Drosophila melanogaster: one gene and its partner. The protein of the gene in region 2 interacts with the protein of the main gene of each other region in a pairwise test. Each region holds a gene or a part of one and is shown on either strand. Other genes may lie near its edges.

Region 1 (4,534 bases), on a different chromosome or scaffold from region 2:
ATCCTCAATTTCAAGTTTTTAAGCAGAAAGAAGCTCAGACTACACAATCTAACAGTGAATATAATATTATAAATACTAAAGTTACCCTTTTTTGTAAATACCTTTCGATAGCTAGTCGTGCATATGAAGCATACAATTTCCTGGAAATTTTCATTTATTATTCCAAAAGGTCGAATGCATAATTATTTCCACTGAAAGGGGGGAAGTGTTTTCTATCCGATCGCTTGACAAACGACATATGTCCACGTTTGCAAGTCCATCGGAACTGCAGCCAACTGATCGAGTGAGTCCAAATGATATGATACGGCTACCCAGAAAGCCATCTTCCAGTGACAATTGGCCAGTTGAGTCATGCATTCGGGGCTCGAAACGGACACGCCTTGAATAATTATTTATCTAGGAATTCTGCGTGCGGGCTATCCAGTTTCGGGGTAAAAAGTCTGTTTTGCCAGCCAAATGCTCAATGGCCAGATGGAATAGCGAAAGTCGCTCCGAATATGAAGGGGCCAAATAAAACACACGATTTGAGATATTTTAACATATTTTCAATACACTTTTTGTTCGGCTCATATTGGTGGTACGCTAGTTTTGATAGTTATGTTATAGCTACGATTTAGTTGTATAATTTATTATTGCTTACGTGGGCTAGGCTAGTGTACTAGGCGATGATAGATCGATCCGATGCGGTAGTTTTAGTTATTGACAAAATGCTCTAATTTAAGTTTATGTTCTGTGTAGCAAAACCCCATCACAAATTGCGTAGCAGACAATTGGGACTATGCCTAAATTCGATAACAATTACGAGCTACAATTACAAATACAGTTAATACAATACAATACGTTAATGCGGTTGCTTAACAGCTATGTCCCCCATTATTTCGTATACGGATAAATCGAAAACAAGTTGGAAACAAAAAGATCTGAGATAGCAGACTCTGGACCCCGAGGGATCACCACCCCCAGGCTGTGTAGACTCGTTCTTGGGTATATTATATGGTGTATGTATTTACAGGAATATACAAGAGAGCCCAGCCCAGTCGCCGAGAATCCAGCCCACAGGCTTACACCCCGTACTTGATGCCGTACTCCTGGTAGTGGCCCACATGCGGTCGGTAGTGGCTCAGATTGCTCAGCTGACCCAGCTGGCCCAGGTTCCCGCTAAGCGCCGCATGGTGATGATGGTGGTGGTGGTGGCTACTGATCACCGCCGCCGCTGCTGCCGCTGATGCCGCTGCCACGGATGCGGAGGCAGGTGGACTGGCGGATTGTAGGCTGCCGGTGGGACTACCGGTGTCCAGTTGGCAGGATTGGTTCTGCTCGAAGATCATGTCGCGGAAACCCAGTGCCGATGTGGGACTGCTGGTCAGCACGCTGGAGGATCCTCCACCGCCACCGCCGCCGCCTCCGCCACCGTTGCCCACTCCATTGTGGTTGAGTACGCTGCTGCTGTTGTTGTTATTATGTCCCGGGTGGGTGGGTGTGCCCTGCTGCCCATTGTGAGGAACGGGTTCCGATGGTGGCGTTTCCGGGGTATACCAACCCCCGTGCGCGGGACCATGCGGAGTTGAGATCGTGGTGGGCGAGTGTCCGGACGATTGGCCTCCCGCTCCTTGGCCGCCGGGGGTCAGAGGATGGGCCACGTGCGCCACATGACGCTGCAGTTGCTGGGCATGATGGGCCGCCGCAGCGTGGTGGACATGATGCATCTGACTGCTGGCCACCGTGGCCAAGTTGTCCTCGTTCAAGTGGTAGGGATAGGCGCTGTGATGGATCCGCGGGTTGTACACATTCATGAGTGAGTCCACGGTGAAGCCGGGATGCTCCACTCCGCCGCCAGCCAAGTGGTTCATTTGGGCCAAGCTGTCGTGGCAGGAGTTGAGCATTGCGGCATGGGAGACCTCCTTGCCACTTAGACAACCCAAGTCCATTAGGGGCTCCTTTTTGAAGTGGGCAGCATGGGCGGCCATGTGCTTGGCCTCCAGTATGCCGTTGGTCATCAGCTTGAGGGGCTTCATCTCGGCCAGCTTCTCGTTCATCATGGCCTGCCGCTTGATGGCCTCCTCCTTCTCCCGCATCACATCCTTCTTCTTGAAGCGGCGACGCCGGCGAAGGAAGGAGCCGTTGTCGAACATGTTGTAGGAGTCCGGATCCAGAGTCCAGTAGGAGCCCTTGCCGGGCTTCTTGTCATCGCGGGCCACCTTCACGAAGCACTCGTTGAGGCTAAGATTGTGCCGAATGGAGTTCTGCCAGCCCTGCTTGTTGTCGCGATAGTAGGGAAATCGCTCCATGATGTACTGATAGATCCCGTTCAGGGTCACCTTCTTGTCCGCCGCATTCTGGATGGCCATGGCTATCAGGGCGATGTACGAGTAAGGTGGCTTTACAATCTCCTTGTTCTGGTGCGGGGCACCCAGGCCGTAGGCGCTGGCCGAGTACGGATAGCGGGAGTACTGGTCGTATGCGTAATGTGCCGCTGCTGCAGCGGAGGCGCTGCTGGCCGCCGCCACCGCGGATGCGGATCCGTAACCGGCTGCGGTCTGGGCATAGTGGCGCGTAAAGGAGTTCTGGTCGCTGAATAACGTATGCATGGCGGCGATTCCGGCGGATTTCTGATCGATTTTCCACTGCCGCCTTCTGGTATTTTCGTACTCTCTTGCTTTTGTCTTGCTTTCTTTCTCGAACTTAATCACTTCACCACTGGCTGCTTCTTATTATTTCTAGCGATAATATTTGCTTAAACAAGTCGCTCACATAAGTGCAGATATATAAATCTATATATATATATATATATATATGCATCTATTTGTAGTACAGGGGAAATGGGAGCGCAGAGCGAGCGCAGAACCGTTCGGTATAGTAACACGTCTGATACTGAATCTGTGTAACTGAAATAACACACAGCTCGCATCGAGCAGAAGCGTTTGCGTCGGCAGAGCGTCGCCCGCACCAGAAAGTATCTCGATCCGCTGCCGCACAGTATCTGTGTGTACCCGCACAATGTATCCGTATCTGCATGTGTATCTGCAGCCAACCAACGATGGCTGCCACTCGCAGTCAGTAAGTGAAGTGGGCCCGCAAACACAGCTGCGTCGAAAGTATCTGTGTGTGGCCAAGAGAAAGAGAGAGAGAGAGAGAGAGAGAGAGAGAGAGCGGACGCCATTCATGCTTTCTTTTTTGTATAGGAAAAAATAGTTAGCTAGCTACGGTGTGTGTCCTGTGGGCACTCCTCCCCTACCCGTCGCTTTTCCAAGCCCTTGTTTTTGTTGTTTAAACTAATGCTTAAAATACGGCCTATCGCCCTCTCTCTCTCTCCCTCTCTCTCTCTCACTTCCGCTCTCGCTCGCTCCCTCTATCTCGCATTCATGATATACTAGATACAATGGTAGTAAGAGCGAGCGAGAACCACATCAACTATGAGAGGCACCTGGGAAAGCCAACAGCACAGGCACAAGTGGGTGGAGGTGGTGGTGAACCAGGGGCTGCAAACGAGCCAACCACCCACTTAACTCACCCTTCCAATGACTTCGGCATAAATTAGTGATAAAGTTCTTTCGATCTCAGCTTAAAGTTGTTCGTCTTCTCGGGAGAGGCAGAGACCAAAAAGTTGCCTGCTAATTTGCAGTTTGATGGGTTTTCGCCAAGATGTTCAAGTTAAGGGCCACGTTTGAAGGTTGTTTTCGTTGAGGGCAAGGCATTAAGTTTTTAGCAACTCCCTTTTTCGGGCGCTTGAATTGACAATGGTTTTTTTGGTGTGCAAAGGGCAGGAATTTTTCAGGCTTATTTAAGGTAAGAATTTCAAGAATACTCAGGATATTAGACAAACATGTTTTCCACAGTTTTTCAAGAACTATTGTATCACCCTATATATAGGATCCTTATATAATAAAGATTCATTAAATTGTTGTTCATGTTAAAATGTCCTAAAAAAGAAAACCGAAATTTTTCTAATATCTAAAATGTATCTAATATCAAAAAGAATGAATATATATATGTAGAAAACTTTTCCCTTCTGCAATATTATTATGAAGCGAGTTATTTATTTAAAAATTGCTCTATTGGCGTGATTAGTTTAAATCAGAGATAATAATAATTGAACAGTTAATACAAGTAGAGTTTTGTACCATAAATTTATAACATATTAAAATTGCACTTGTTTTTATGTTATCTCCTATCCGCCTTTTGACTTGATACTCATTCACTCCACATTTCCAAACATCGAAAGGGTTACTAACCAATTTACAAGCCAAATAACGATAGAGTCAAACATAAAAAGTCCTTCGGCCTCGTCCTTCCCTCTCGCGACTCCTCTGCTCGTTGAGTCCTGCAGTGTCGTTTTTTTCGCAGACTTCATTTCTATTTTCTGCTTATTAAAACAATATTTTTTATTGACTTTGTCAGCTTTAAAGTAAATTTCATATGTTTATTTGGGCAAGGGCAAGTGTGCGTGTGGATGTGAGTGTGTGTACGCGAGAGGCCGAATGGGATGGGCTGGGTGTTTGTCTGGTTATTAGACACAGGGAAAACAAACACGCAC
Region 2 (3,894 bases):
CGAAGGTTGCTCCCCCAGTGATTCACGGGACCAGACAGCGCCTCCGCCGCGCTGATAACGACGATAGCTTTATGGCTGGCTGATAGCTGATTGCCATAGCCACCACCCAGCAGAGCGCAACTCCGCGTCCCGCCGAACCATTCGCGTCATGGCGCACCAAGTTTTCGGGCCAAAAGATATGGTACCATGGCGGCATGTGGCGGCGTTTGTTGACTTGGCGTGAGATAACCAACCACCACCACCTTATCGCCGTCCCAGACGCAGCGCCCACACACTGAGGTGAAACCGGCGGGCGAACCCAAGAATGAATTTCTGGGTTTTGGGATCGTACGCTTGCATATCAAACACATGTGGGGGAAGTTTAGTATTTCTGATAAAGTGATAAAATTATAAATGAGAATGTGTGTGGGGTTTCACAAAGCTCAAGCTAGAAAATATCACTTTTGTTTTCAGTGTACTCAAATCAAATTTAATAAAATTAGCGTGATTTCCTTATGCAACACATCAGTTGGGGTTTTATATCCATTATAAAGTTCGGAATTCAAGGAAGCTTCTAAGCTTTAACTTTATAAACAGCTATTAAGCTTAAAGTCTAATTTTAACTTTGTAATAATAAAACATATTGAGAAATTGAGAAATATATTACAGAATTGAAATTAAGTGGCTTCCACGAAAGTTTTTATCCATTTCCCTTCAGAGTATAGGAATCACATAACGATTCAAATTGTCTGCTTAAACTTTTGATTCTTTGTCTCAAAACTATAACTATTTACTTTTTAGTCACAAGCTCGAATATATAGTTAGGTCAGGAAAACAATTAATTGTTTTATTAATAAATCTATTTATGGAAATTATGCAAGGCGATCTTATAGTGGCCTCTTTGTAGATTCTAGAACTAGCCATTCTCAGGCAAAAGATCTAGATGCGTCTTCAGACGTATTAGTCCATTCGCTTTTCTCTGAGTGCACTAGTACGGCTCCAAGAGTTGACGTACCTGTTCCAATGAAGGGGTGCGATTCGGATCGGGAGTGGGACTCGGATCGGTACGCAGGGTGGGGTGCGGCAGGGAATTCGCTACGCGGTACGAAGTGCAAGTCAGGCAGGCAGGCAGGCAGACGGCACCGGGCGATAAGACTTGCCCCCCAAAGAGCGATCATCGGGCACACACATGTGCCTGTGTACATATGTGGACTGGCTGGCTGGCTGACTAGCTGGCTCTCCACTTGTGCGTTGATAAGCGGGCCCAGACCGTACCCTGGTCGCCCCCCAGTCACCCATCTGCGTCGCAGTCCATCCAGCACAGAGTTTCACTCACGTAGTGTGTGCTTTTGCCCCAGATCCATTTGCCCCAGCGGATTTTTTTCCACCGCTCCACCGCTACGCACCTGCTCCTCGGCGCTCCACTGTTTTGGTTCCGTCTGCCGCCGTCTGCTCCCCCTGCCCCTGCCACGCCCCCGCCGGACCCGTCTGCAGCCTTCGAAACTGATAAGCATACCCTGTCCGTCTGGGCGACCCCTTATCGCCGTCCAAGTTTCGCATATTACCCGAACCTCTGCAGGCGAGCGGCTCATTCGATCGGCAGGCGCTTTAGCGAAAGCAACAAATTTTCTCGATCAGCACCCACCACAGACAACAAACATGGATATAATACAAAAGTCAATCTTCAACAGCGGCCCACACAGCAGAGGCATCTACGAGCCGCCTCTCGGCTACTTTACGCCGTATAACACACCACCGTACATAGCCGCCTACTCGGATTCCGGCAGCTGGTTGGCGGATCACCACCAACACCACCAGCAGCAGCACCAGCAGCACCAGCAGCAGATGCAGCACATCAGGTTTCCCACGCCGCCCATCACACCGCCGCGTCCCATCGCCGGATACGGATATCGTCAGCGCACCCAGTCCGTGATCATGAAGGCTCGTGGCCAGCAGGACGAGCTCTGCCGCAGTCCAGTGGAGTTCCCCGACGACAGCAAGTCCTGCAGCAGCAGCAGCGAGTGCGGCACCGCCAGCGATTTCGTATGCAACTGGACAGATTGCGATAGGTAAGTGTCAACTGCATTACAGAATTATTGTGAAAATTTCAAAGAAATTTCCTAAAGGGGTCTCAGCACTTTCGTAATGTTTTTTAAAAACGAAAAAAAAACTCAGCATTATATTTTCTTTTGAATTTTGAGTTGCCAGAGAAAGACATTGAGTAGTTCTAGAAAAATATAAAACACAGTTCCCCCGCGTTTTACCATTGAAACTGATTACGCATTCGAAAGAAATAAAAAAAAAACCCCGGAGGCAGCCTGGCATTTGCTGAACTGTTGGACTCGACTTTTTGATAAACCCTCCAATAGCGATAATAATGTGATTTTGGGTCAAATTGATAGAGATGCAGTGTATTGTTTATGGTCAGCAAGTGTATTAATATTGGATAAGAAATCAATCCAGTACATGTTATTTTCGTACTAACCACTTATATCCCTTTGATCCTTGCAGAGTTTTCGACACCTTGGATGCACTGGCACAGCACGTGACCCAGCGACATGCGATCGCCAGCCTGACAGACGGACTCTACTATTGCCGCTGGCGGGGATGTCAGCGCAGCGAGCGAGGATTCAATGCCCGCTACAAGATGCTTGTCCATACCCGCACCCACACGAAGGAGAAGCCACATCGCTGTCACCTGTGCGAGAAGTCCTTCTCGCGGGCGGAGAACCTGAAGATCCACATTAGGTCACACTCGGGCGAGAAACCCTACAAGTGCAGCTTCGAGGGCTGCCAGAAGGCGTACTCGAACTCCTCGGATCGTTTCAAGCACACGCGCACCCATTCGATGGAGAAGCCGTACATGTGCAAAGTGGCCGGCTGCCAGAAGCGCTACACGGATCCGTCCTCGCTGCGAAAGCACGTCAAGACCTTCAAGCACAGCATCCACCTGATCGCCAGCCAGCCGCTCACTCTGCCCAGCGTACCCTGTCTCCTGGAGGCCAGCAGCGAATCAGCGTTCACGTGTCTTCCCGCTGCCAGCAGTGTGGAGTCCACCAGCTCCTCCTCATCCGCCCGCTACTACGATGACTCCAACAATGAGCCCAGCGATTACTCGCTAAAACCCAAACAGGATGCGGAATTCTCGCCCAGCTATTGGCTAGGCGATAGACAGCATAGCTATCTCCACAGCGAGGACTTCTTCGTTAAGATGGACGTGGAGTCACCGCTCGACCTGCGCATCCATCGAATCTGAACTGGCCAATCGGTTCGCCTCTCGTCTCTCTTCCCCTTCTAGTCATTGCGCTGTTTCCCAGCTCTTGTCACCACACCTAGATTACTATTTAACGTGATTAAAGACTGTTGTAATTGAACTGCTCTAGTTTGGCATGGTGGCATGGGAGTATCTTCGGGATTGATCTGATCTAGGTTCCTTCATAGTGGTTCTGGGCAAAAAGAGTATTTCAAAGATTTCGAAAAACCATAAGCTCAAGGTATGGGAAAATCCCCAGTTACAGGCGATTCGTCACAAAACTAGTGACCAATCTTAATCGACTTCGATTAGAATTTATGATCCAGACAACCTTTGTTTGGAGGAAAATCCCCATTTCGAATGGCTGGGCTAATAGAGCGCTAGATATTGGAAAATATTTATTGTTTAAATGCGCATCTAGACGAGTTTTTCACACAACTGTTAATAACAGATTTAATGTTTTTTTTTGCGGTTTATAGGAATGTTAGTTGATCTAGATAACCTCTCGTTTTTATACAAACAACAAGAACAAACAAAATAAATAGCAAAAGTATTTCACATTTGAAATAGATGAATACACTTTAAAAGCGATATCAGGTTTTACACTATATATAGGCATATATATATACTGGCAACATACTACAGAGAAGAACCAAATAATC

Evidence for each region.
Region 1: the proteins of sug (region 2) and croc interact in a two-hybrid assay, tested with the Drosophila melanogaster proteins (one large-scale study listed by BioGRID).

Annotation. Positions count from the first base shown.
Region 1 is NT_037436.4:21,473,607-21,478,140, forward strand, and holds croc (crocodile), read right to left. Parts: upstream 2,874-4,534; 5' UTR 2,589-2,873; coding exon 1,062-2,588; 3' UTR 527-1,061; downstream 1-526. UniProt on the Drosophila melanogaster protein: Required for the establishment of head structures.
Region 2 is NT_033778.4:12,927,294-12,931,187, forward strand, and holds sug (sugarbabe), read left to right. Parts: upstream 1-1,566; 5' UTR 1,567-1,638; coding exon 1,639-2,048; intron 2,049-2,490; coding exon 2,491-3,235; 3' UTR 3,236-3,351; downstream 3,352-3,894. UniProt on the Drosophila melanogaster protein: Transcription factor which represses a set of lipase genes involved in fat catabolism.